3 linked regions of the Anolis sagrei genome follow. The protein of the gene in region 2 interacts with the protein of the main gene of each other region in a pairwise test. Links are inferred from orthologs where the notes say so. Each region holds a gene or a part of one and is shown on either strand. Other genes may lie near its edges. The genes, in order: PLEKHN1, TAX1BP1 and GABARAPL1.

Evidence for each region.
Region 1: the proteins of TAX1BP1 (region 2) and PLEKHN1 interact in binary tests that used the Homo sapiens proteins (3 or more experiments, as listed by UniProt). The two-hybrid records come from large-scale screens. The link is inferred for Anolis sagrei from reciprocal best matches to the Homo sapiens genes TAX1BP1 and PLEKHN1.
Region 3: the proteins of TAX1BP1 (region 2) and GABARAPL1 interact in binary tests that used the Homo sapiens proteins (3 or more experiments, as listed by UniProt). The link is inferred for Anolis sagrei from reciprocal best matches to the Homo sapiens genes TAX1BP1 and GABARAPL1.

What each region holds. Positions count from the first base shown.
Region 1 is NC_090033.1:3,759,600-3,769,480, reverse strand, and holds the start of PLEKHN1 (pleckstrin homology domain-containing family N member 1), read right to left. Parts: upstream 4,585-9,881; 5' UTR 4,335-4,584; coding exon 4,255-4,334; intron 1-4,254. UniProt on the Homo sapiens protein: Controls the stability of the leptin mRNA harboring an AU-rich element (ARE) in its 3' UTR, in cooperation with the RNA stabilizer ELAVL1.
Region 2 is NC_090026.1:90,668,455-90,678,335, forward strand, and holds the start of TAX1BP1 (tax1-binding protein 1), read right to left. Parts: upstream 6,156-9,881; 5' UTR 6,049-6,155; intron 1-6,048.
Region 3 is NC_090022.1:168,109,407-168,119,287, forward strand, and holds the start of GABARAPL1 (gamma-aminobutyric acid receptor-associated protein-like 1), read right to left. Parts: upstream 5,481-9,881; 5' UTR 5,322-5,480; coding exon 5,232-5,321; intron 1-5,231. UniProt on the Homo sapiens protein: Ubiquitin-like modifier that increases cell-surface expression of kappa-type opioid receptor through facilitating anterograde intracellular trafficking of the receptor. Involved in formation of autophagosomal vacuoles.

The sequences.
Region 1 (9,881 bases), on a different chromosome or scaffold from region 2:
GGGCATATTGAGTATTTGTGCCAAATTTGGTCCAGATCCATCATTGTTTGAGTCCACAGTGCTCTTTGGATGTAGGGCAACTACAACTCCCAAACTCAAGGTCAATGCCCACCAAACCCTTCCAATATTTTCTGTTGGTCGTGGGAGTTCTGTGCACCAAGTTTGGTTCAATTCCATCGTTGGTGGAGTTCAGAATGCTCTTTAATTGTAGGTGAACTATAAATCCCTGCAACGACAACTTCCAAATGTCAAGCTCTATTTTCCCACAAATTCCTCCAGTGCTCACATTTGGGCATATTGAGTATTTGTGCCAAGTTTGGTCCAGATCCAACATTTTTTGAGTCCACAGTGCTCTCTGGATGTCAGTGAACTACAACTCCCAAACTCAAGATCAATACCCACCAAACCCTTCCACTATTTTCTGCTGGTCATGGGAGTTCTGTGCACCAAGTTTGGTTCAATTCCATTGTTGGTGGAGTACAGAATGCTCTTTAATGTAGGTGAACTATAAATCCCAGCAACTACAACTTCCAATCGACAAGGTCTATTTTCACCAAACTCCATCAGTGCTCACAATTGGGTATATTGAGTATTGGTGTCATGTTTGGTCCAGATCCATCTTTGTTTGAGTCCACAGTGCTCTCTGAATGTAGGTGAACTACAACTTCCAGACTCAAGGCCCATGCCCACCAAACCCGTCCAGGATTTTCTGTTGGTCGTGGGAGTTCTGTGCACCAAGTTTTGTTCAAGTCCATCGTAGCTGGAAATCCGAATGTTCTTTTATTGTAGGTGAACTATAAATCCCTGCAACTACAACTTCCAAATGTCAAGCTCTGTTTTCCCCCAAACTCCTCCAGTGCCAAGTTTGGTCCAGATCCATCATTTTGGTTCAATTCCATCATTAGTGGAGTACAGAATGCTCTTTGATTGTAGGTGAACTATAAATCCCAGCAACTACAACTTCCAATTGACAAGGTCTATTTTCACCAAACTCCATCAGTGTTCACAATTGGGAATATTGAGTATTGGTGCCATGTTTGGTCCAGATCCATCTTTGTTTGAGTCCACAGTGCTCTCTGAATGTAGGTGAACTATAACTCCCAAAACCAAGGTCAATGCCCACCAAACCCTTCCAGGATTTTCTGCTGGTCATGGGAGTTCTGTGTATCAGGTTTGGTTCAAGTCCATCGTCGCTGGAAATCAGTATGCTCTTTTATTGTAGGTGTTACTGGAGTTCAGAATGCTCTTTTATTGTAGGTGCACTATAAATCCCGGCAACTACAAGTCCTAACTGACAAGGTCTACTTTCATCAAACTCCATCAGTGTGTTCACAATTGGATATATTGAGTATTGGCGACATGTTTGGTCCAGATCTATCTTTGTTTGAGTCCGCGGTGCTCTCTGAATGTAGGTGAACTACAACTTCCAAACTCAAGGCCCATGCCCACCAAACCCTTCCAGGATTTTTTGTTGGTCATGGGAGTTCTGTGTGCCAAGTTTGGTTTGATTCCATCACTGGTGGAGTTCAGAACACTCTTCGATCGCAGGTGAACTATAAATCCCAGATCCTTCATTGTTTGAGTCCACAGTGCTCTCTGAATGTCGGTGAACTACAGCTCCAAAACTCAAGGTCAATGCCCACCAACCCCTTCCAGTGTTTTCTGTTGGTCATGTGAGTTCTGTGTGCCAAGTTTGGTTCAATTCCATCACTGGTGAAGTTCAGAATACTCTTTGATTGTAGGTGAACTATACATCCCAGCAACTACAACTCCCAAATCACAAAATCAACCCCCACCCAAACCCAACCAGCATTCGAATTATCACATGTCCCTGCTTCGCAGGAAAAGAATTTGCAAGGTGGTGACTTTGAAGGCTTTGTTTACAAAGTCGTGTTAGGATAAGAAATATTTCCTCCCATACCGGAGCGGATCAGAATAGTGTGACTAAAATACCAGAAAATTTGACAAAAATCTGTGACTATAAAAAAAAATGCAGCATCAACGAAAACAATGCGCGCTCACAGCCCATGCGTACAGAATCATGTGAGTTGTAGCATTGTTAGGAGAGAGTGTTAGCCATGTGGGTATATTGATACAGAACCTTTATATATAATAAAAGTGAATGTTTGTATGTGGGTATGTATGGGGCAACGTTCTGATTGGTTGCCACTGTGGTACAATTTGCATATGGTGTCTGATTGCCCAGCCTCAACATTCGAACATTCTTTGGAGGCAGAGAGGGGAAAAGTAAGGGTCTGAGGCTGTCGGGACCAAACCAATGACGGATCAGGACCAAACTTGGCACACAGAGGCCCAATGGCCCACTTTACAACCTGGTGTGGTTTAGGGCAGGATGGGCCGCGAATGATGGGATTTGTAGTACCTTCACCCAATTTACTTCCCACAGAGCATTGTAGCCCCTACAAATCACAGACCAGGCCCAGAGTACTCATGAACCACTCTACATCTTGAAGTAGTTCTAAGGGGGATGGACCATGGATGATGGGACTTGCAGTATCTTTACTCACTTACTGAGGCGACTGGCTCACCAAAGTGGGAGTTGTAGTTTACCCTGCATCCAGAGAACACACCGTACCCCACCGGAACTGACCCCCCATAGTGGGAGTTGTAGTTCACCCTACAGCTAGGGAACACACTGAACCCCACCAATGATGGACCTGGACCAAACTAGGGAACACACAGAACCCCCACCTTCTGAAGAGGTTTGAGGGGACTGACTCACCAAAGTGGGAGTTGTAGTTCACTCTGCAGCGAGAGAGCACACTGAACCTCTTGCTTGAGAACACAAAAGTCAACCCAACCTAAGTTACTACCAACCAACCCGACCTGGACCAAACTTGGCACACAGGACCCCCACCTTCTGAAGAGGTTTGAGGGGACTGACTCACCAAAGTGGGAGTTGTAGTTTACCCTACAGCCAGAGAGCACACTGAACCCCTTGCTTGGGAACACAAAGGTCAACCGAACCTGAGCTACTACCAACCAACCTGACCTGGACCAAACTTGGCACCCCCCAGCTTCTGAAGAGGTTTGAGAGGACTGACTCCCCAAAGTGGGAGTTGTAGTTTACTCTGCAACCAGAGAGCACACTGAACCCCTTGCTTGGGAACACAAAAGTCAACCCAACCTGAGTTACTACCAACCAACCCGACCTGGACCAAACTTGGCACACAGGACCCCCACCTTCTGAAGGGGCTTGCGGCAACTGACTCCCCAAAGTGGGAGTTGTAGTTTACTCTGCAACCAGAGACAACAGAATTGAGTCAAACTGAATCTCACCCATGATGGACCTGGACCAAACTCAGGGTCCATAACCCCCATGTCTACCTCCACCTTCTAGAGGGGTTTGAGGGGCAACCAGAGAGCACACTGAACCCCTTGCTTGGGAACACAAAAGTCAACCCAACCTGAGCTACTACCAACCAACTCGACCTGGACCAAACTTGGCACACAGGACCCCCACCTTCTGAAGGGGTTTGAGGGGACTGACTCCCCAAAGTGGGAGTTGTAGTTTACCCTGCAACCAGAGAGCACACTGAACCCCTTGCTTGGGAATACAAAGGTCAACCCAACCAGAGCTACTACCAACCAACTCGACCAAACTTGGCACACATAACCTCCATAACTAACTCAATCTACCAGAGGAGCCTGACGGAACTGACACTCCATAGTGGGAGTTGTAGTTCACCGTACAGCTAGGGAACACACTGAACCCCACGAATGATGGACCTGGACCAAACTTGGCACACAGAACCCCCACCTTCTGAAGGGATTTGAGGGGACTGACTCACCAAAGTGGGAGTTGTAGTTTACCCTGCAACCAGAGAACACACTGAACCCCACCGGAACTGACGCCCCATAGTGGGAGTTGTAGTTCACCCTACAGCTAGGGAACACACTGAACCCCACCAATGATGGACCTGGACCAAACTTGGCACACAGGACCCCCACCTTCTGAAGGGGTTTGAGGGACTGACTCTCCAAAGTGGGAGTTGTAGTTTGCTCTGCAGCCAGAGAGCACACTGAACCCCACCGGCGATCCATCTAGAGCTGTGGTTCCCAGTCTTCCTAATTCCTAATCTATGAGAACTTCTCACGGTTGTTCGCGATCGGTCCCGAGAAAGGGACTCGCCCGATTTTTCTCCCTTCGGGACGACCCAAGACGAAAAATCCCTTTGTAAGACAAACTAGACAAAGAAGTGTTCCAAAGGCCACTTCGGGTACGATACTCACTCTTTCCTGAGCGAGGGCTTCCTCGAAAAGGAATATCTGAGCCTCCCCGAGGCGTGGGGAACACAAGCCATGTTCCCCATGTTGTTGCGGGTGGTTCAAGCGCCTGCTCCACGACTCTCTAATCCAGGAACAGCTGGGCAGCAGAGCACAGGAGCCAAGGGAGGAGGCCAAAAGGAGGAGGAGGAGGAGAGAGTGTTTTCCTTCCCAGCCTAAGCAAGGCAGGCAGAGGAGGTGTGTGTTTGTGTGTCAGTGTGTGGATCTCTCGATGTGTCACTCAGACATTCCCCACTTCCTCCTGCCAGGGTGACTCTTTGGGGTGTGTGAGCTGGGAATCAACAGGCTTTCTTCGCCCAAGGCGGTTGGCTTGGCCGACTTCTCCTCCTCCTCTTTGGCTTTGCTTTGTCTCGATCACACAAAGCCGGGACACTCGAGGAGCAACTGGAGGGACAGACTCTCCCCTTCCTCCAGGCACGACCCCCCACCCGCAAAAAATATATCCCAGACACAGGGACTCCTTGCCGGTTTCACCTGTAGCTAGCCAAACAAAGGAAGGCCAAGGGAGTTTCGTCCAAAGGTGTGATTCAGGTTTTGTGTCTCGCTCTTGCTGACTGTGCAACTCAAAACAAAGCCTGCTCTACTCTTAGGTGGAAGAGAAGGCAAACACAACGCGTGGAGCAGAAAGTAGAAAAGTGACTTGGTGTCCGACCGCCTCCCCAAAGTGTTGGTACTACGGTTATATTCCAGAAGCCAAAAGAGATGGGCCAAAACTAACAAAATGAAGTTCAACAGGGACAAATGCAAGATACTCCACTTAGGCAGGAAAAACAAAATGCAAAGATACAAAATGGGAGAATGAGACCTGGCTCAAGAGCAGTACGTGTGGAAAAGATCTTGGAGTCCTCGTGGACAACAAGTTCAACATGAGCCAGGAATGTGATGTGGCGGCAAAAAAAGCCAATGGGATTTTGGCCTGTATCAAGAGGAGCATAGTGTCTAGATCTAAGGAAGTCCTGCTCCCCATGCTCTATTCCGCTTTGGTTAGACCACTTTACCTGGAATATTGTGTCCAATTCTGGGCACCACAATTCAAGAGAGATATTGACAAGCTGGAATGTGTCCAGAGGAGGGTGACTCAAATGATCAAGGGTCTGGAGAACAAGCCCTATGAGGAGCGGCTTAGGGAACTGGGCATGTTTAGCCTGAAGAAGAGAAGGCTGAGAGGAGATATGATAGCCATGTATAATATGTGTGAGAGGAAGCCACAGGGAGGAGGAGGGAGCAAGCTTGTTTTCTGCTTCCTTGCAGACTAGGATGCAACTACAAGAAAGGAGATTCCATCTGAATACGAGGAAGAACTTCCTGACTGTGAGAGCCGTTCAGCAGGGGAACTCTCTGCCCCAGAGTGTGGTGCAGGCTCCTTCTTTGGAAGCTTTTAAACAGAGGCTGGATGACCATCTGTCAGGGGTGATTTGAATGCAATATTCCTGCTTCTTGGCAGAATGGGGTTGGACTGGATGGCCCAGGAGGTTTCTTCCAACTCTTTGATTCTATGATTCTAAGCATTCTCTTCTGACGTTTCGCCTCCATCGATGGCAGGCCTCCTCCGAGGTTGTGAGGTCTGTTGGAAACTAGGAAAATTGGGTTTATATATCTCTGGAATGATGTCCAGGGTGGGAGAATGGACTCTCAAGTGTGAATGTTGACATTTCCAATTGACATTATCAAAGGCTTTCTCTGCGTCAAGGGCCAGGAACATCACTTTCTTTTGGTTATTAATTTCATAGTATTCAATCAAATCTGTTATTATTCTAACATTTTCCTTCTGTTGTCTGTTCGGCAAGAATCCTGATTGTTCTTCCTTAATTCTTGTCTTGAGCAAATTTTTAAGTCTTTCTGCAATCACAAAGCTAAATATTTTATAATCTAAGTTCAGCGACGAAATGGGCCTATAATTTTTGACTCTTTCTGGATCAGCATTTTCTTTATGTATCACTGAAATGTTTGCTTGTCACCATGAATTTTGTATTTCTTTGGATTCTCTGACCTTATTCATAATTTTTTTCAAATACGGTGTTAGTTCTTCTTGAACATTGGCCAGTTTGATTACCATCCCAACAAAGGATGCCCCTAGGCAGGAGGGCTTTGATTACGTTTCCTTGTCCCGGTGAAGGGAGTTGGACTGGATGGCCTTAAGTATTTTCTGTCTGCCAAGTTGAGTTCAATTCCATCATTGGTGGAGTCCAGAATGCTCTTTGATTGTAGGTGAACTGTAAATCCCGGAAACTACAACTCCCAAATGTTAAGGTCTATTTCCCTCAAACTCCATCTGTGTTCATATTTGGGCATATGGGATATCCATGCCAAGTTTGGTCCAGATCCATCATCGTTTGAGTCCACAGTGCTCTCTGGATGTAGGTGAACTACAACTCCCAAACTCAAGGTCAATGCCCACCAAACCCTTCCAGTGTTTTCTGTTGGTCATGGGAGTTCTGTGCGCCAAGTTTGGTTCAATTCCATCGTTGGTGGAGATCAGAATGCTCTTTGATTGTAGGTGAACTATAAATCCTAGCAACTACAACTCCCAAACTCAAAGTTAATGCCCACCAAACCCTTGTAGTGTTTTCTCTTGGTCGGGGGAGTTCTGTGTGCCAAGTTTGGTTCAATTCCATCGTTGGTGGAGATCAGAATGTTCTTTGAGTGTAGGTGAACTATAAATCCTAGCAACTACAACTCCCAAACTCAAGGTCAATGCCCACCAAACCCTTGTAGTGTTTTCTCTTGGTCAGGGGAGTTCTGTGTGACACGTTTGGTTCAATTCCATCATTGGTGGAGTTCAGCATGCTCTTTGGTTGTAGGTGAACTCTACATCCCAGGAACTACAACTTGCATATGTCAAGGTCTATTTTCCCCCAAGAGCGCCCCCTGGGCAAAATCAACTCTACCGCGAATGCTTACTTCGCGTAATGGTTGCGCCGCCCCTGTCGGAGTCCCATCCCAGTGTGGCTAGTTTGCAGAAGCAAGGCATGATGGGCTATTCCATTGTTTCAAGGGATGCCCGACTCATTTCCGCAGAAGATGATTCAGAATTCTCATTGGATGGGAACTCCAGTCTTGTTCGTCTGCAAAAACAAGCAGGCGAGGTGCACGCTTGGGCTTTGGAGGCTTCTGCAAGCACGAAGCTCTTCGCATGGTCCGCTGAGGAAGGAAGAGGCGAGCATCTCTACGAATCGAAGAAGGCTGAGGGGAGGATGAGTAAAGTTACTTTTTTGAAAGTTTTTCTTTAAAGCTCTTTTCAGCAGCTTAGGTTGAGGTCAAACCCAGAACTCGCTGCCTTCAAGCTGATCTGACCTGCAGCAGGGAGTTCCTGAGTTCTATATTGCCCCGCTTGGGCTAACCTGTATGAACGCGGCCATAGCAGCAGTTGCAACTCAGAAGCCTTCTTATTACTTCGCTTTCTTTCCACTCCTATCATTGTACTTAATCCCCCCAATAAAATTAATTAGTTAATTAATTAATTAATTAATTATCAATTAATTAATCAATTAACCTTTTTCCTCTCCATAGTGTTATTTTGTATCCTTTTATTGCCTCTAACCTCTCTCGGCATGAACCTTTCCACTCCTGCGCTGCAGATGGCTGCTGGTCCGCCCGGGATGCGATTTCCCTTAAACCGCGGATACGGAAACCCATCGGAAAATTAGGAAAAATCTTGGGTGGCTGCTGGTGGAGGACTTAATGTCAGGGGAAAACCTTTACCTACGGGAATGGCAATGGGCAAATTCCACACCAATGGAGAGAGTAAGGAACACTGGGGTGCCTGTGGTGGAGGATTTAATGTCAGAGGAAAACCTTTACCTACGGGAAAGGCAATGGGCAAATTCCACACCAATGGAGAGAGTAAGAAACACTGGGGTGCCTGTGGTGGAGGACTTAATGGCAGGGGAAAACCTTTACCTTTACCTATGGGAAAGGCAATGTGTAAATTCCACACCAATAGAGAGAATAAGAAACACTGGGGTACCTGTGGTGGAGGACTTAATGGCAGGGGAAAACCTTTACCTTTACCTATGGGAAAGGCAATGTGTAAATTCCACACCAATAGAGAGAATAAGAAACACTGGGGTACCTGTGGTGGAGGACTTAATGTCAGGGGAAAACCTTTACCTTTACCTATGGGAGAGGCAATGGGCAAATTCCACACCAATGGAGAGAGTAAGGAACCCTGGGGTGCCTGTGGTGGAGGACTTAATGTCAGGGGAAAACCTTTACCTATGGGAGAGGCAATGGGCAAATTCCACACCAATGGAGAGAGTAAGGAACCCTGGGGTGCCTGTGGTGGAGGACTTAATGTCAGGGGAAAACCTTTACCTATGGGAGAGGCAATGGGCAAATTCCACACCAATGGAGAGAGTAAGAAACCCTGGGGTGCCTGTGGTGGAGGACTTAATGTCAGGGGAAAACCTTTACCTATGGGAGAGGCAATGGGCAAATTCCACACCAATGGAGAGAGTAAGAAACCCTGGGGTGCCTGTGGTGGAGGACTTAATGTCAGGGGAAAACCTTTACCTATGGGAGAGGCAATGGGCAAATTCCACACCAATGGAGAGAGTAAGGAACCCTGGGGTGCCTGTGGTGGAGGACTTAATGTCAGGGGAAAACCTTTACCTATGGGAGAGGCAATGGGCAAATTCCACACCAATGGAGAGAGTAAGAAACCCTGGGGTGCCTGTGGTGGAGGACTTAATGTCAGGGGAAAACCTTTACCTACGGGAAAGGCAATGGGCAAATTCCACACCAATGGAGAGAGTAAGGAACCCTGGGGTGCCTGTGGTGGAGGACTTAATGTCAGGGGAAAACCTTTACCTATGGGAGAGGCAATGGGCAAATTCCACACCAATGGAGAGAGTAAGAAACCCTGGGGTGCCTGTGGTGGAGGACTTAATGTCAGGGGAAAACCTTTACCTACGGGAAAGGCAATGGGCAAATTCCACACCAATGGAGAGAGTAAGGAACACTGGGGTGCCTGTGGTGGAGGATTTAATGTCAGACGAAAACCTTGAGGCAATGGTGAAATTCGACACCAATGGAGAGAGTAAGAAACACTGGGGTGCCTGTGGTGAAGGAATTAATGTCAGTTAGACGGACGGACGGACGGACGGACGGATGGATGGATAGATAGATAGATAGATAGATAGATAGATAGATTGATAGATAGAAAGAAAGAAAGAAAGAAAGAAAGAAAGATAGAAAGATAAATAGAAAGATAGATAAATAGATAGATAGAAAGATAGATAGATAGATAGAAAGATAGAAAGAAAGAAAGAAAGAAAGAAAGATAGATATATAGATAGATAGATAGAAAGATAGATAGATGATAGATAGATAGATAGATAGATAGATAGATAGAAAGATAGAAAGATAGATAGAAAGATAGATAGATAGATAGATAGATAGAAGGATGGATGGATGGATGACTGGATGTTTGTGCACAGACTTTAGCTGTTTTTACAAAACCTAATCCACAGTGGTGACATGCTAATTTTTTAATGACATGCTAATTTTTTACATTCTCCAACAGGCTCCACTCCTGGAAAAAAAAAACTTTATGCAAGTGGTGGTTATTTATA
Region 2 (9,881 bases):
TGCAATATAATCTTATGAAAACTGAATAAAAATATAGACCATTAAGTTTACATAGGCTTGGGTAAGTGGGTAAAGGACTACAGTATGAAAGCATAAATGACCCAAATACCTGTTGGGCAACCTGAACTGAGAAATATGGATCTCTTTATAGCCCTTCTAGGAATGTGTATGTTGTCCTTTGTTAAGTGTTACAGTCACTTTAACAGCCATTTAACAGTAATTACAATATATCTCTGTTCGGATTTTGAGATTAATTCCTAAATAAGTGTGGAGCAGGCCATTTTCAGAATGCATTCCTATCGAGACTTGAAAATAATTATGCCCAATGTGCTCTCTAATATACCAGAAATAGGACAACCTTTCTCCTTATCTTCAATAATTAGCTTGGGTGGGGTGTTATTGGATGAGTGCCTGGATGTTTTCCTGACAGATATAGCCTAGCCACAATAGCCCATGCACTGGTAAACTCCCAACTAAATAAATGTGCTTTACATGGAGCTGCCCTTGTAAAAGCTGCAGGTAGTGCAAAATACAGCAGCTCAACTCTGACTGGCACATCTATATAAATAAAAATGTAATGTTCATTTGTGGGATTCACATAACTCAAAAACCACTAAACGAATTGACACCAAATTTGGACACAATACGCCTATCAAGCCAACAAATGACCATCACTCATAAAAATACTAAAAAACACAGAAGAGGCTTAAAAAGCCAAAAAACAAAAATCACATTACAACGCATGCGCAGGACCACATATATATACACAAACACACATATACACCTATACACCAATATAGATACACACAAAACACATATACACAGACTGGGCTGCAGCAATGCGTGGCAGGGGACGACTAGTACATCATATAAATGTCATGTAAAAGAATTGTCAATATGTTTCCAGCTGGAATTTAAGATGATTGTGATGCTAATTTAAAGTCCTACATGGCTCAGGATCTTGATATTTGAGAGCTCCTCCATTTCCCTTCAGTAAGGTCAGAGGAGGGGGCTTTCTCAGGCAAAGCACACCAACCATAGAATACTCTCCTCCTGACTGTTACCAGCACTCACTTCAGTCAGGCATTTGACATGTTTTTCAGGCTCTTTGGGCCTCATTAACTCATCCCAAATGGTTTAGAAATGTTTACATCTCTTAAATCTCTTTTAACTCATATTTTAATATATTTTGGTTTATTCAAATTATTTTAAAGTTTCAAACTCTTTTAACCTTAATCCTGTTATTATTTTTTGTATAGGACAGGTATAATTACTGTAATCAAAACATAAATAACTTATTCACCATACATGCTATTACAAGCTAAATACACCCTTCTGGTTTCCAGTTGAAAAAAAAGCTAATAAGTATTCTTGTAATTCATCTCTAAATCTGCTACAATTTTATCAAGGATATCTAATCCCTGAAGAATATGCGTAGAGCTTTACAGGGAAAATCTGAAACTGAAAGAAGTTTCCCTTCACTAAAGCATATACAATTCAACAAGGAAACATGGTTACGTGATTTAAAAGATTCATTTACAGGCCACATAACTCTCTTATCAGCAAGGAGTAGCCACAAGTGTTTGGTTACTTAGTAAATAAATAATCATGAATGACTTGAATGCATATACACCCCAAAAATCCACTACGCTAGGCCTCCACAACCTGTGACCCTCAAGGTGTTTGAGAGATTGTTTCCAGAATTCCTGATTTTTGGACAAGTTGGCTAGGGCTTCTGGTAGTTGGGAGTTCCAAAGCCCTCTGAAGCAAAAGCTATTTGGAACAGAGCAAGCTATATACCTCATCAATTGCAGATTTGAAAGCAGAAACCAAACTTTAGCCAAGAGAACACTGCTATACTGATCGCACTATCTTGTTTCCTCCCTCTGCCTGCTTATAGTCAAGGTGGGGGATAAGTTCTTACAGGGTTGGATGCACTTCATTTTGCTGTTTTTTCTCCAGAATTTGTGTCTGTATGTCCATTCAAGGCATTTCATACAAGAAAACCTATCATATGGTTTTCTTGGCAAAATTTGTTGAGAGAAGGGGTTGCCGTGGCTTTCTTGAGAGGCTAAGAGAGTGTGACTGGCCCAAAGTCACCCAACGGGTTTCCATGGCCAAGTGAAGATTTGAACCCTGTTCCCAACACTCAAAAACCACTATACCACATTGGCTTTGCCTGCTATGTTACCTCAGGGAAAAGGTGAGAGGGAAAGGGATTGATGTTCACCCTTTCTGTGTCAGTCCGTACTTGCCTCCACTTTGGGTCTTTCAGCCACAAGGGCAATTAATAAAGTTTGATCCCACTTTAACTGCCATGGCTCAATGCTGTAGATTCAAGGGAGTTGTGGTTTTCAGAATATCTTTAGACTGATTGTGCCTTACCAAACTACAAATCCTATGTTGAAGCAGAGCCAGGCTGCATTATATCTACAGTGTAGATGCAGCCATAATCCAATGCACAAACTAGCACATCATTTGGGCCCCGTCTACTGAATTGCTTCAGTGAAAGTAATATTGCTATTGCATGTTGGGAAATCCATACAATAGTCTCTCCATTAAGTGGAGCTCTCAAACAACCAGCAGAAATATCAAAAATATATAATTTAAATAAAAGAGCTGTTTTCATAATATAGTAAAACAGAATTATGACTGTGTGACATTAAGTTTCTTTTTTTTTTGCTTTTATAATTACTGTATTTAATATTACTGTATTTACTCTATTCTAATGTACCACTGAATCTAATGTGCCCCTCAATTTTCAAACTCTGAAACCAAAAAAAAGAAAAAGGATTTGCTGGTAAATATAATGTGCAGTAGCAAAAATGCACTCTTTGTAATCTGGTCAAAATTACATGCTTAGATTTGATTTTTTAAAAACAAAAGTGTTAGAACACCAAGGCTTTTAGCAATTGAAAGGAAAACCTTAGGATGCATCTGTGCTGTAAAATGAATCCACTTTAACAGCCTTGGCTCAATGTTATGAAATCATGTATCTTTACAAGGTCTTGAGCTTTCTTTACCAAAGAATGCTAGTGGCTTGCCAAACTACAAATTCCAGGACTGCATAGCATTAAGCCTGGCAATCAAATTTGAGGTGACATCCCTCAAATAAGAGCTCCAGGTGCAACTTCTGAAACAGCTTCCTCTTTTGCTTTGGATCAGCACCAAGATTACCAAATTACGCAAATCCAATGCACAACCTAGTGCAGCCAAAAAAGGTAAGCATTACATTCAAGTAAATATTATAATATCCAGTCACTACAGAGTTTGTGGCATGGTATAGTATGGTATGGAGTTTATTATCAGTTAGGCCTATTTTTAATAGCACCTCTCAAACAACCAGAAACTAAATTTATCTGGCATCCAAAATAATAAAATTTTACAATTTTAAACCAAGGTGCCATTCTATCCCCAATGTTCTTTAATGTTTACTATGAAGCCACTGGGAGAGATCATCCATAAACATGGGCAAGGTGATCTCTCTGAGTGGCTTTATAGTAAATATTAAAGAACATTGGGGATAGAATGGCACCTTGGTTAAAAATTGTAAAATATGCTGATGACACCAAAATATATTTCTCCGCGCCTTCAAAAACAGCTTCAGCTATGGATACTGTGTCTCCTCTGAATGAATGCCTGGAGCAGGTAATGGGCTGGATGAGGAAGAACAAATTGAAACTGAATTCAGACAAAAAAGAATTGGTTGCCAACAAGGGTCCTAATCTGGGGATGGAGATATGTCAATCAGTTCTGGATGGGTTTACTGTCTTCACAGCTTGGGAGTACTCCTGAATCTGTCTCTCCAAATGTCAGCCCAGGTAGATGCAATGGTCAGGAGTGCTTACTATCACCTTTGGCTGATACACTAGCTGTGCTCCTTCCTAGATTTGGAGGACCTGAAGATGGTAGTGCACGTGGCTAGTAATCTCAAAGTTGGAAATTACTAGTCATAGATTTATTCCTGCAATCTTACCCAGTCAGTCTTTAAACACATATACACACAGAAAACACATATACACAGACTGGGCCACAGCAACATGTGGCAGGGGACGGCTAGTCTATATAAATAAAAATGTAATGTTCGTTTGTGAGATTAACAGAACTCAAAAACCACTGGACGAATTGACACCAAATTTGGACACAAGACACCTAACAACCCAATGTATGTTCTTCACTTAAAAAATTGATTTTGTCATTTGGGAGTTGTAGTTGCTGGGATTCATAATTCACCTACAATCAAAGAGCATACTGAACCCCACCAACAATGGAATTGAACCAAACTTGGCACACAGTTCTCCCATGACCAACAGAAAATACTGGAAGGGTTTGGTGGGTAGTGTCCTTTGGTTTTGGAGATCACTGTGGACTCAAACAACGATGGATCTGGACCAAACTCTACACGAATACTCAATATGTCCAAATGTGAACACTGCTGGAGTTTGGGGAAAATAGAATCTTGACATTTGGAACTTGTAGTTGCTGGGATTTATAGTTCACCTACAATCACGGAGCATTCTGAACCCCACCAATGATAGAATTGGGCCAAACTTCCCACACAGAACCCCCCCCCCCCCCGTGGGTCACAGCAACGCGGGGCAGGGGACGGCTAGTAATAAATAAAAGATTGGGAAGCCAAGTCCCATAAGGAATGGCTGAAGGAGCCAGGTGTATTTGGCCTGGTGATGCAAAGTTTAAGAAGGCATGACATGACAGCCATATTTAATTGTTTGAAACAATGTCACATTGAGGACGGAACAATCTTGATTTCTGCTTCTCTGGAGACAAAGACACGGAGCAATGGATTCAAATGACAGGAAAATGCAAGATACTCCACTTTGGCAGGAAAAACAAAATGTAAAGATACTGAATGGGGGACACCTGGCTCGAGAGCAGTACGTGTGAAAAAGATCTTGGAGTCCTCGTGGACAACAAGTTAAACATGAGCCAACAATGTGATGTGGCGGCAAAAAAAGCCAATGGGATTTTGGCCTGCATCCGTAGAAGCATAGTATCTAGATCCAGGGAAGTAATGCTACCCCTTTTCTGCCTTGGTTAGATGACACCTGGAATATTGTGTCCAATTCTGGGCACCACAATTGAAGAGAGATGTTGACAAGCTGGAATGTATCCAGAGGAGGGCAACTAAAATGATCAAGGGTCTGTAAAACAAGCCTTATGAGGAGCAGCTTAAGGAGCTGGGCATGTTTAGCCTGAAGAAGAGAAGGCTGAGAGGGGATATGATAGCCATGTATAAATATGTGAGAGGAAGTCACAGGGAGGAGGGAGCAAGCTTGTTTTCTGCTGCCCTGGAGACTAGGATGCGGAACAATGGCTTCAAACTACAAGAGAGGAGATTCCATCTGAACATGAGAAAGAACTTCCTGACTGTGAGAGCCGTTCAGCAGTGGAACTCCCTGCCCCGGAGTGTGGTGGAGGCTCCTTCTTTGGAGGTTTTTAAACAGAGGCTAGATGGCCATCTATCAGGGGTGCTTTGAATGCAATATCCCTGCTTCTTGACAGGGGGTGGACTGGATGGCCCATGAGGTCTCTTCCAATTCTATGATTCTATGATTTCTGATGGGAAGAGCTCTTCCACATTATAATATACGTACTGCAGCAGCGTGTGCTGGAGTCCCCTGTATTTCCTTCCACGTCGCGTCTTCCAGCGACAATCTCCTCCTTCCCCTCCATGCTAAGCTTTTCTCCTCCTTTCGCCCGGCCATAATCCTCTCACAACTTACATAACGCCCCACACACAACAGATTAAGCACAGGCCCCTTTCGAGACTTCTCCCTCGGCCTCGTCAGGCGGCTCCTACCTGGCTTCCCCCTCCAAGCCAAGGTTAACCGCCTCCTTTGGAAGCAAACCCTCTGCTTTAGACAACAGGCCTGGTCCCTCACCTTCCGTCTCTCTCGGAAAGGGGGGCGGGGAATTGTTACCACAAACGTGACAGGAGAAAAAGAACAGGCCGCACTAACCCCTCACAACCTCGCCAAACACACTCCAAGTGCCAAGAAACAGCCGTCAACCGACTAGGCCTCTCACCTCCTCAGACGCCGAAGGCTTCAACAACTGCGAACGCCAGCCGCCGCCATTACCGCCCTGGAACCCCGCCCCCTCCGAGACGCCAGCGTCACTTCCGGCCCGCGGCGCTCGGGCTTTCCCCCGTCCTCTGCGCGTGACGTCAGCGAATCGACGTCGTGCGTGTTTGCGCGTCATTCCTGCGTCCGGCCCTCTCATAACATCGCCCCCTCCCCTCGGAAAAGAGTGGTATTCCTCGTTACTCTTACACGTAATTAATCCAACCTGCACCTTCAAACTGCATTATATGGTCCACGTAGATCAGGTATGGGGAAACTTGGGCCCTCCAGGTGTTTGGGACTCCAACTCCCACCATTCCTAACAGCCTCAGGCCCCTTTCTTTTCCCCCTCAGCGGCTTAAGCGGCTGAGGGGGAAAAGGAAGGGGGCTGAGGCTGTTAGGAATGCTGGGAGTTGGAGTCCCAAACTCCTGGAGGACTCAAGTTTCCCCATACCTGATATAGATTCATATAATGCAGCTCAATGCAGTTAAAAGGCATGTGACAATATAATGCAGTTTCAAACGGTGTAAATGGGATTATTGGTGTTTACAATACTGCAAGGGAAATATTTATTATTTTATTTATTTATTATTTACGATATTTATTGGGAAGTCGGATCTGGCCACGGTGGCCCACACTCTTGTTACATCCTGGATAGATTACTGCAATGCACTCTACGTGGGGTTGCCTTTGAAGACTGTTCGGAAATTTCAATTAGTCCAGCGGGAGGCAGCCAGACTGCTCACCGGAGCGTCATACAAGGAGCATACCACCCCCCTGTTATGTCAGCTCCACTGGCTGCCGATCCAGTTCCGAGCATAATTCAAAGTGCTGGTTTTGGCCTACAAAACCCTATACGGTTCCGGCCCAGCGTATCTGTCCGAACGCATCTCCCTCTACGTCCCACCTCGGAGTCTGAGATCCTCTGGGGAGGCCCTGCTCTCGGCCCTGCCTCTGTCACAAGTGAGATTGGCGGGGACGAGGAGCAGGGCCTTCTCAGTAGTGGCTCCTCACCTATGGAATTCACTCCCTGGGGAAATTAGATCAGCAACATCCCTCCTTTCCTTCAGAAAGAAATTAAAAACATGGATGTGGGACCAGGCGTTTGGGCAATCTGGCAGATGAACAAAGGACTGTGACGACGGATAGGAATGGACAATTGTGGAACTAAATATGGACTCTGAGCTGGCGAACACTGTGTCTGAGATTGGCTATCGATTGTGAGATATATTGTTGTTTTAATTGTTGACCATTTAATTGCTGGTTTTATATGTTATTGTATTTATGTAGGCACCAAGATGCGCCTTTTTGTAAGCCGCCCTGAGTCCCCCCTCGGGGGTTGAGAAGGGCGGGGTAGAAGTATACGAAATAAATTAAATAAATAAACCGGCCTTTCTCAGCCATACGGCGACTCAAGGCGGGTTACAGATTAGCACAATTCGATGCCAGGCATTCATAAAAGTGCAATTAAAAACAACCAACATTACAATATAAGTCATATATAAACACCGTTAAAACATATAATCATTGGTGTCATCCTGCTAAAAATCCAGTAAGTATAAGTATTAAAAAAACCTCTAAAATTACAACAGCAAAACAACAGAGAGGAAACAATCTGTGACATCTAATCACCTCTCAACAAAAGATTGCCCCAGGCACTGCCAGGCCATCAAATGCTAATCAAGGTGGTCAGTTGAAACATTCACACCTAGCTCCATTAGACAAGAGTCCTTTGTCCCACTCTGGTCATTCCACAGATATATAAACCCTTTTTTCCTAGTTCCAACAGATCTCACTACCTCTGAGGATGCTTGCCATAGATGCAGGCAAAACGTCAGGAGAGAATGCCTGTAGAACATGGCCATATAGCCTGAAAAAAGCCTTCGACAATACGTTATCCAGTAACATCGTCGGGTCATTCCATGTTCATCATTCATAGTTCCGTGTTATCTATTCTGCATTCTCAAAAGCTTGCTCAAAAGCCAGGTTTTTTTTTTCAGAAAGTCAGGAGGGAGGGGGCCGATCTAATATCCCTGGGAAGGGAGTTCCATAGCCAGGGGGGCCACTGTCCTTCATCTCTGCCAATCACACTTGTGAGGCAGGCGGGATCAAGAGCAGGGCCTCCCCAGACAATCCTAGATGGTTCATAGGACATACGTTCGGATAGGTAAGCTGGGCCGGAATCCTTTAGGGATGGTTTAATACTGGGTTGAGGCCAATGTAGATCATATGTGCCATATGTATCTCATCAGAATATGTAAAAAATGTTTTGGAATATGGTTTAGAATAATTTGTATATTTTTAACTTAAAATAGCTAGGAATGCTTTTTTATATAACTCTAAGGAAACTTTTTCTTCAAAATGATTCCGCCTCAACTGGTCCAATTCATCTTCTTACATCATTCCTCATTCTTTAGCTTTGGTGGGGTTGCCTTATTCTCTTGGGCTCCATCTATGCTGACCATTTAATGCAGTTCGCAGCTAGCTTCAGATTGCGGCGGCCGAACAAAAAACTCCCACAAAAGCACATGAAGGGAAGCCCTTAATGTGCATCACGATTCTGTACTTTGTGTAATCACCATCTGGGCCTCAAGCTGATTTGAGGATTTCCTATGTAATCATCCACACAGCATGAGCACTTTCTTCAATACTGGTTTGAAAATGCATTAAATTATAAATGTACATGTGACCATGGTTGAGTACAGGCAGTCCCCAACTTACAAATATCCTGCTTATAAATGATTCATAGTTAAAAACAGGAGCAAGGCAACAGGAAGAGAGGGAAAATTCACTCATAAAAGAGTAATCTCTTGAAGGAGATTCCCCCTTAACATTAAGAAGAACTTCCTAACTGTGAGAGCTGTTCAGCAGTGGAACTCTGTGCCCCAGAGTGTGGTGGAGGCTCCTTCTTTGGAGGCTTTTAAACAGAAGCTGGATAGCCATGTGTTGGGGGTGCTTTGACAATTTTCCTGCTTCTTTAAGCAAAAATTAGAGTAAAGCTAAAATAACACCAAACTAAGTATCATGCTGAAGTACAACCAGAAGAACATCCCTATAGAATTTAAAGATTAAAAATTTTTAGGTGAAATAATCGATGCACACTTTTAAGCCCAATTGACCAGGAACCAGTAGCACGCTGGACTGAAATGAGGGACATTTCCATGGAGAATGCAAAAAGACACTTTCTGCAGCCAAAAAGACCCCAGAGTCAATGGATGACATGAAACTCTTCATGTTTATGTTGCTAGTATTGTTATTTTTGCCTATGTTGCGATTCTGTATGTGCTGGTGTTGATACTTGGAACCAGCCTGACTCCGTTCGAGGTGATAGAGTGGTATATAAATAAAGTTTATTATTATTTATTATTATTATTATTATTATTATTATTATTATTGGCAGGGGTTGGACTGGATGGCCCATGAGGTCTCTTCCAACTCTATTATTCTATAATCATGTGGAAAAGGTGTCTCTACTGAAGCTTTAGAGCCAGTCCTGTTTCCTCAACAAACCATTTTTAAAAAAAATCCAATTATCACAGGGACAGAAAGTGAGGTGAAATCTTCTGAACAGTGGCACAAGCAGCAAAACAAACAGCATGGGTGTGTTAGCTCTTCCCTATGCTATCCAAAGTGTGTGTGTGTGTGTATACACACAGTAGAGTCTCACTTATCCAACCTTCACTTATCCAATGTTCTGTATTATCCAATTTAGTCCAGGGTCTGAGAAAGAAAGAACTCTTGTCTGTTTTGGTGCTAAATTCATAAATACAGTAATTACTACATAACGTTACAGTGTA
Region 3 (9,881 bases), on a different chromosome or scaffold from region 2:
TATGCCAGCCAGACTTTCTCAAAAAGCTGAAAGGCTACATCCTGAGCTAGTACACTGCAGTGCAGGTAGCTGGGCCTGAAACCAACAAGCTATTGAGGGAGAAGAAAGAAACACAGTAGGCCTGGATGAACTCTGGGGTAACAGAACAAAACCACCTTAATGTTAACCAGAGTTAAGGATACTCCAAATTTTGATCCAGAATTCATAGTACCCTACAGCCTTGGGCCCATCTAAACAGAATTAGCTACAACTGTCCTCACTGTCATCCCACATTTCCTGGGGTCAGGTGGGCCAAGGACATGGGATGTCACTTAGCATATCCCTTTTTCCTACTATGCTGTGGCAGTCTCCAGACATGACATGGGTCCTACTGCAGTCACCTTCCGTGACGTTGGCCAGGGCAATGGGGTGCTCTGGAAAGAGAGGGAGAGAGGAGGGGATGATTTCTCCCCTTCACCCTCCCTCGTCTCCCTGGCCAATGTCACTGCAGGTGATGACCAATTGTAGAATCCATGCTATGCCAGAAGACTGTGGCAACATCAAGGACCAGAGGGTGGCTGGCCAGTGGCACCAAACCAATTTGAGTATTGGGACTCTCTCCCATCCCTACAGCAGCTGGGTGGGGTCTGCCTGTCAGGCCCATCTCTGGGCTGATCCATCATATGCCTGGTATGGTGGGTTAGTGTAGATCTGTCTCTGGTTAAAGCTCTCACCAGTTGTTTTAGTCTGTCTTCACACAGAGAGAATTATCTCGTGCCAAAAGGGGAAGGATGAAAGATGCTTCCCACCTTGGGAGAAATACAGATAAAATCAACAAACAAATGCAGCTGACACAGAGTCAACTGTACTTATATCTTTATTGAATAGTCACCTTTACACTTAACACAGCAACACACACACCTACTGTGCTTGTCAGTAGTACTCCAAGGACTCTGCCAGCATCTGATCATACCAGGGATTAGATTTGGGACCTCAGGGCTGCAAAGTATGCACTCTGCCACTAAGCAATCGCATTCTCTTGTGAGATGTCACTGCAGAGGTGTCAGCTAGGCCCATTTCCCTTCTGATACAGCTTTGTAACTTTTTTCATTCTTCCTTTAATTGCAGCTCTTTACTGTCCAACAAATGCAACCAAATGTGCAAGGCTAGATAAATAGTTTAGTTTCCTAATTCCAACTACATGGCTTTTAATAGCTTCTCAACAACTGATCATGCAGCAGTGGGTATTTCTAGCCTTGTATCACTTATGCAATTTTGTTAACATGCCTATTTTTTTTAAAAAAATATCCCACCACGGAGCCTATATCCTGAGCAAGGTGTTTTTCAACAAGTGCCTGCTAACTGAACACACATTTAGCTTTCCTGTCCCCTCAGGCTTACAGATGGGATTTATACTTTTTGAAATCCAGCTTTATCTAGAGGTAGTTCTGAGAGATATCAGCAATATAGAGAATGCTGACTTTTGGAAATGTCTCCTGATTTTAAGAGACTTTAGTAGTGATTTATGATTGTCTGCACGCCCTATCCCTCTCCAAAATTTCTATCCTGTTTATAAACCTGGTCACGCCCAGCATTATTTTTCTAAAAAATTTAATTAGTACATTCGTCGTTGTGTTATTGTTAATGTGTATTGCTATTTTCTGTTTATGAGTTTTATTTATTGTTGTATTACTGTTGCTATGTCTTATTGTTGTATTGTGGGCTCGGCCTCATGTAAGCCGCACTGAGTCCCTTGGGGAGATGGTAGCGGGGTACAAATAAAGTATAATAATAATAATAATAATAATAATGTCTAGAAATCCTTATACAGGCAAACATGATAGATTTTGTAGGTTAGTTCTTAAACTAATTTTTTATATAAGTCAGGTACATTTTAACTGTAACTCCAGCCATTTTAATTCAGTTTTGGATAGCACAGCGAAGGGTTTGTAGCATTTGTTTTGCTGCCCATGCTCCTGTTCGAAAGATTTCATCTCACTTTACGTCCCTGAGATAATTGGATTTTGAAAAAATTGTCTTGTCCTAGAAACAAGGATTGCTGATAAAGCTTCAGTGGAGATACTTTTTCCCCATGATAACTTTCAGGAGTGAATTTCCCTTCTGAGAAGTAGATTTCATTTCACTTCCTCTTGTTGTTAACTAGATGCTGTAGATAAATTGGATATTTGTAACTTGAGGACTGCCTATAATGACTAATACAGCACAAAAGCCAACAGAGTACTAGTAAATAAAACATATTTGAATGAACAACTGAATGAAAAACTGCTGGTGATTTTCTACTACTGTGCTACAAATGACAACTCAGAACAAAATGAAATGGAAAGATGCAGAATGGGGGACGATGCCTGGCTTGATAGCAGCAGTATGTGTGAAAAAGATCTGGGAGTCCTTGTGGACAAGTTAAGCATGAGCCAAAAATGTGGTGGCAAAAAAAGCCAATGAAATTTTGGACTGCATAAATAGGAGTCTAGGGTCTATATCAGGGGTCCTCAAACTTTTTAAACAGAGAGCCAGGTGACAGTGCCTCAAACCGTTGGAGGGCTGGATTATAATTTGAAAAAAAAAACATGAATGAATTCCTATGCACACATCTTATTTGTAGTGCAAAAAACACCTAACAACAACACAATAATTAAGATGAACAATTTTAACAACTATAAACTTCTTAGCATTTCAATGGGAAATATGGGCCTACTTTTGGCTGATGAAATAGGATTGTTGTTCTTGTTGTTACTGTGTGCTTTTAAGTTGTTTCAGACTTTGGTTGACCCTGAGTAAGGGCCAGGTAAATGACCCTGGAGGGCCATATTTGGCCATCGGGCCTTAGTTTGAGGACCCCTGGTCTAGGTCCAGGGAAGTCATGCTCCCCCTTCTATTCTATTCTGCCTTGGTGAGAACCACACCTGGAATACTGTGTCCAATTCTGGGCACCACAACGGAAGGGAGATGTTGACAAGCTGGAATGTGTCCAGAGAAGGGTGACTAAAATGAAGGGTTTGGAGAACAAGCCCAATGAGGAGTGGCTTAAAGAGTGGGCTGAGAAGAAACATGATGAGGGCATATAGAAATATGTGAGGGGAAGTCATTGGAAGGAGGGAACAGGCTTGTTTTCTGCTGCCTTGGATACTAGGATGTGGAACAATGGCTTCAAACGACAGGAAAGGAGATTCCATCTGAACATTAGGAAGAATTTCCTGACTGTGAGAGCTGCTCGGCAGTGGAACTCTCTGCTCTGGAGTGTGGTGGAAACTCCTTCTTTGGAGGCTTTTAAACAGAGGCTGGATGGCCATCTGTTGGTGGGGCTTTGAATGAGTTTTTCCTGCTTCTTGGCAGGGGATTGGACTGGATGGCCCATGAGGTCTCTTCCAACTCTTTGATTCTATGAATTTCCTGACTGTGAGAGCCGTTTAGCAGTGGAACGGAGAGTGTTGGAGGGCTCCTTCTTTGGAGGCTTTTAAACAGATGCTGGATGGCCATCTATTGGTGGGGCTTTGAATGCGTTTTTCCTGCTTCTTGGCAGGGGGTTGGACTGGATGGCCCATGAGGCCTCTTCTATTATCCTGATTTCAAACCTGCTAGAACACTGGTTCTCAACCTTCCGAATGCCGTGACCCCTTCATCCAGTTCCTCATGTTGTGGTGACCCCCAACCATAACATTATTTTAATTGTTAATTCATAACTGTCATTTTGGTACTATTATGAATTGTAATGTAAATATCTGATATGTAGGATGTATTTGCATTCACTGGACCAAACTGGGCACAAATACATGATATGCCCAAATTTGAATACTGGTGAGATTGGGGAGGGGGGGGGGGGGGGAGGAATTGATTATGTCATTTGAGAGTTGTAGTTGCTGGGATTTATAGTTCATCTACAATCAGAGAGCATTCTGAACTCCACCAATGATAGAATTGAACCAAACTTGGCACACAGAACTCCCATGACCGAGAGAAAATGCTGGAAGGGTTTGGTGAGCATTGACCTTGAGTTTTGGACTTGTAGTTCACCTACATCCAGAAATCACTGTGGACTCAAACAATGGTGGATTTGCTAGGTTCTTGTGGGTTTTTTCGGGCTATAGAGCCATGTTCTAGAGGCATTTCTCCTGACGTTTCGCCTGCATCTATGGCAAGCATCCTCAGAGGTTGAGAAGGTCTGTTGGAAGTAGGAAAAATGGGTTTATATATCTGTGGAATGGCTGGGGTGGGGCAAGGAGCTCTTCCCTGCTGCAATTAGGTGTGAATGTTTAGCTGATCACCTTCATTAGCATTTGAAGGCCTGCCTGAGTCTGGGAAAATCTGTTGCTGGGAGGTGTTAATCTGTGCCTGGCTTTTCCTCTCTGTTGTTTAGCTGTTATAATTTTAGAGTTTTTTAATACTGGTAGCCAGATTTTGTTCATTTTCATGGTCTCTTCCTTTCTGTTGAAATTGTCCACATGCTTGTGGATTTCAATGGCTTCTCTGTGTAGTCTGACATGGTGGTTGGACCAAACTTCGCACAAGTACTCAATATGTCCAAATGTGAACACTGGTGGAGTTTGGGGAAAATAGACTTTGAGCTTTGAGAGTTGTAGTTACTGGGATTTATAGTTCACCTACAATCAAAGAGTATTCTGAACTCCACCAACGATAGAATTGGGCCAAACCTGGCACACAGAACCCCCATACTAACAGAAAATACTGTGTTTTCTGATGGTCTTTGGTGACCTCTCTGACGCCCCCTGGCGACCCCCCCCCCAGGGGTCCCGACCCCCAGGTTGAGAAATGCTGTGCTAGAAAGAAGGGCTATAATGCTACCAAAAAACCGGAAGCAAACATCCCCAGGATGCGGTCTAGCCGTAAGCTACTTGTTTGCTGACCAAAAGCAGTAGGTATGTGTGGGAAATACAGAAATATAGCAACACTTGCCACAGTGCCAAGGATTAGCCCTCCTGGGGCGCCTGCTTCGGGTTACTAAAGGTTACTTCGTCCCCCAGCCTTTGTCCTCCCCGCTTCCATGTTTAGGAAAGGGGAGAGGGGGAAACGGAGCTCCGCCCCTTTCGGCTCCCAAGCAGCACCCCGGCCAACGGAGGGGGGGGGCGCGAGGGGGATTAGAGGACAACAACAACAACAACAACAACGACGTCCGGTCTCAGTGGAGCTCTTTGAAGGACAACAGACACCCTGAAAATATAGACCCGCCCACCCATCCGCCTGTTCCCCTCCCCCCCCCCCCCCCTTCCACTCACAGGCACCCGGTCTGGATATTTCTTTCGGATCTTCTCCCCTTCTTTTTTCCTGTACTCGAAAGGATGGTCTTCCTTGTATTGGAACTTCATGTCTCAGGCGAACTCAGAACCCCTTCGCGACGGCGGCCTCCTTGCTTCTCTCTCTCTCTCTCTCTGTCTCCCTCCCTCCCTCGCTCAGCTGATCACAAGATTCACAACAAACACCCAGGGTTCAAGCCGGGCATTGTGACGTCACCGAGCTAAAAGCCCGCATCGGCCTCTGCCGCCCGCATTTTGGGACTGCACCATTTCTGCGCGGGGGGGGGGTGTAGGGGGTGGAATCAAAGGAGAGGCAGGCTCCTGCTTGAATCAAAGGGGGATACGTTTCTTGGGTGAAGGCCACACTAGAATCAGGAAAGCTTCCAAAAAATGATGCATCTCTTTTGTAAGTCATGATGTCTCATAGTGAAGGAAACAAACGAGTTATTATTATTATTATTAAACTTTATTTGTACCCCGCTAGCATCTCCCGAAGGACTCGATGCGGCTTACATAGGCCAAGGCCTCAAAACACAACACAATACAACACCTAAAGCAAATTAAAAACAGTTAAACAATATTAACAACAAGCAATAAACAATACATCAAGACACTATAAAACTGGGCCGGTCCAGAGTAATGGGTACAAGATTAAAAGTGCTGATGTGGCAGGAGGTATGTAGGATTATAAAGTAAGTGCAGTGTGCGGTGTGCAGCAATCTTAGTTCTACTAAAGTGCTTCTGGGACTTGGTATTGGAGATTCCTAATCTGGGAAGGCACATCGGAACAGCCAGGTCTTCAAGTTCTTTCTAAAGACTGCCAATGTAGGGGCCTGTCTAAGATCTTTTGGAGGGCGTTCCAGAGTCGGGGGGCCACCACGGAAAAGGCCCTGTCTCGAGTCTCCACCAAGCACGCCTGCGATGCAGGCGGAATCACGAGCAGGGCCTCTCTGGATGAACAAAGTGAATGTGTGGGTTCATAGAAAGAGATGCGGTCACGCAGGTAGGATGGTCCCAAACCGTTCAGGGCTTTGTAGGTAAGCACCTGCACCTCAAATTGGGCTCGGAAAATAAACAGCAGCCAGTGGAGCTCCTTGAACAGGAGGGTTGACCTCTCTCTGTAAGGAGCCCCAGTTAACATCCTGGCTGCTGCCCGTTGGACCAGTTGGAATTTCCGAGCCGTTTTCAAGGGCAGCCCCACGTAGAGTGCATTGCAGTAGTCCAATCTAGAGGTGACCAAGGCATGGAGTTGTAGTCCAGCATCGGGAGGGCCGCATCAGATGATTTGGGCCCCTTCTGCACTGCCCTTTAATCCGGTTGAAAGCAGACAGTCCATTTATTTATTTGTTTATTTATTTACTAGCTGTACCCGCCACGCGTGGCTGTGGCTAAGCTTCCCTCCCTCTTTCTCTTCTTTCTCTCATTCCTTCCTTCTCTTCCCTCCCTCCCTCCCCCCACCCCCACCTTTCTTTCCCTTCCTTTCTCTCTCTTCTTCCTTCTCTACCTATTCTTGGACTTGGACTTCTTGGACTTCATTTGAATGCATTTGAAGGATGTTCTAGATGCAAGGGGCCACCACCGAGAAGGCCCTCTCTCTCGTCCCCACCAACCGTGCTTGTGACGGAGGAGAACTTCCTGACTGTGAGAGCCATTCAGCAGTGGAACTCTCTGCCCCGGAGTGTGGTGGAGGCTCCTTCTTTGGAAGCTTTTAAACAGAGGCTGGATGGTCATCTGTCAGGGGTGCTTTGAATGCAATATTCCTGCTTCTTGGCAGGGGGTTGGACTGGATGGCCCATGAGGTCTCTTCCAACTCTTGGATTCTACGATTCTATTCTATACATATTGTTAATGAAAGTAAATAAATAACATTTCTTATTTAAACTGTTATGTTTATTCATATCCCATATGCATGGGGCAGGGGCGGCTCGTCCATTACGCGAAGTAAGTGGTCGCAGAACACTTTTTTTTGCCAGGGGCACAGAGGCGCTTCTGTAAATGCCCCTTGACTGCCACTTGAGGAGCGCCCCCTCAGCTCACAATAGCCCTAGCAGTCCGGGGGGAGCCTCGGCTTTCTTGCCTCGCTGCCGGGCGATCCTCTTCCCAAAGGGGCCGGGCCCTTGAGCCTCGCCTAGCCCCTCTTCTTCCTGCTCCACCTGGCCACCGGGTGCACAAGCAGAGCCAGTGCTCAATTGTTCTCCGCATTCGATCCCTTCCCCATGACCGGCTCCCTTTCCTGATCCCCGGCGCTCCACCCGCCTCCTCTCCTCTCCCCAATCCGCAGGTCGGCCAAGGAGCGGAGCCGCCATGCCTGGCCTACTTCGGGTCTGGAGGAGTGTCTGAAGACCCCAGCGTGCGCACCAAAAGTCTCTTCTCCTGACTTTCTCTTCAGCCATTGGGACCAAGAGAGAGAGAGAGAGAGCCCCTCCGGCTGGAGGTATCTCCCACCTCCGCTCCCTCCTTTGTTTTTGCACCTACCTTCAGGAAAGGTGGGCATCTCCACCTCTCCCTCTCTGGGTCCCAATGGCTGAGGAGAAAGTCAGGAGAAGAGGTGACTTTTGGTGCACACACCGGGGTCTTCAGGCATGCCTCTGGACCCAAAGCGGGCCAGGCAAGGGAGCAAGTGCGGCAAGTGTAGTTACTGAGATGTATAGTTCACCTACAATCAAAGAGCATTCTGAACTCCACCAATGATGGAATTGAACCAAATATGGCACACAGAACTCCCACCACAAACAGAAAATATATATCAATGATTGGTTGGGGGGGGGGGGCGCCAGATACTGTTTGCTTACCGTTGAAAATTACCTAGGGCCGCCTCTGGCATGGGGGTATTGGGATAACGATACAAAAGGTTTGCTGGGGTAGATCCTCTCTCATTCAGACTCAGCCTCCCCCCCGTCCCAAACAAAATCCTGGCTACGGGCCTGAATGTAAGTCTCTTGGAGTCTCCTTACGGAGAGAAAAAGTGGGGTATTCATCACAACAACGGGGCCGAAACGCCTTGGTTGCCTTTGTAATTGAAAGCCAAGGAGGGGAGGTTGTTTAGAAGGGGCTCCCCACGACCCCACTGCCAGCCCATGGAGGCCCGCATGAGGCTCCCTTCATCGGATGTTTTGTAAGGATGACCCAGCAGCAGCAACCCTCTCGATCGATGGCTTGTCTTCTGAGGCGACCTACATGCGGCTGTCACGCCCCCCTGCCCCCCTCCCTCCTCCTGCGTAAAGGCGGGTCTAGGCAGCGCCGCAAAAGGGAGGAGCGCGAGGAGACAGACGTCGAGACAGCCGCCGCCGCGTGACGCAGGGAGGCTTAGGCGAGGCTCCTTGGTGCAGCCCGGACGCATCTTGGCCAATGAGCTGTCCCTGCTGAGCCTGCGCCTGCCCAGGTCGGGGGATCGTCTCTGCCCCAAGGCTGAGCCTCGGAACACCACCACCACCAAACAACGACCTCGACATAGGATGACAGGGCTCTCGAGGATTTCTGTGGATTTGCTTGTTTTGAAGTTGTTTTTTAAAAAATAAATATAAGCCGCTCGAGTGTATTTGCCAAGGTCATGCTTAACCACTGTTTGCATTTCAAGAGACGTTTCCATCCTTGTTAATTGCCCTGCGTAGTCGCCTTGACAACCTTCTCCTCCTCTTCTCTCCCCTCTTCCTCTTCTTCTTCCTCCTCCTCCCCCTCCTCCACCTTTTCTTTCTCCTTCTTCTTCTTCCTCCTCTCCCTCCCTCTTCTCTTTTTTCCCTTCCTCCTCCTCTTCCCCCTCCCTCTTTTTCTCCTTCCCCTTCCCTTCTGCTTCCCTCCCTCCCTTTTCTTCCTCTTTTTCTCTTTCCTCCCTCTTCCTCTTCTTCTTCCTCCTCCTCCCCCTCCACCTTTTTTTCTCCTCTCCCTCCTCCTCCTCTCTCTCCCTCTTCCTTCTCTTTTTTTCCTTCCTCCTCCTCTTCCCTTTCCCCTTCTTCCTCTTCCCCTTCCTCTTTTTCTCCTTCCCCCTTCCCTTCTGCTTCCCTCCCTTTTCTTCCTCTTTTTCTCCTTCCTCCCCTCTTCCTCTTCTTCCTCCTCCTCCCCCCTCCACCTTTTTTCTCCTCTCCCTCCTCCTCCTCTCTCCTCCTCTTCCTTCTCTTATTTCCTTCCTCCTCTTCCCTTTCACCGCCTTCCTCTTCCGCCCTCCCCCTTTTTCTCCTTCCCCTTCCCTTCTGCTTCCCTCCCTCCCTTTTCTTCCTCTTTTTCTCTTTCCTCCCCCTCTTCCTCTTCTTCTTCTCCCCCCTCCACCTTTTTTCTCCTCCCCTTCCTCCTCCTCTCTCTCTCTCTCTTCCTTCTCTTTTTGCCTTCCTCCTCCTCTTCCCCCTCCACCTTTTTTTCTCCTCTCCCTCCTCCCCTCTCTCCCTCTTCCTTCTCTTATTTCCTTCCTCCTCCTCTTCCCTTTCCTCGTCTTCCTCCTTCTCTTCCCCCTCCCTCTTTTTCTCCTTCCCCCTTCCCTTCTGCTTCCCTATCTCCCTTTTCTTCCTCTTTTTTTCTTTCCCCCCTCTTCCTCTTCTTCCTCCTCCCCCTCCACCTTTTTTCTCCTCTCCTTCCTCCTCCTCTCTCCCCCTCTTCCTTCTCTTTTTTACTTTCTCCTCCTCTTCCCCCTCCTTTCCTCTT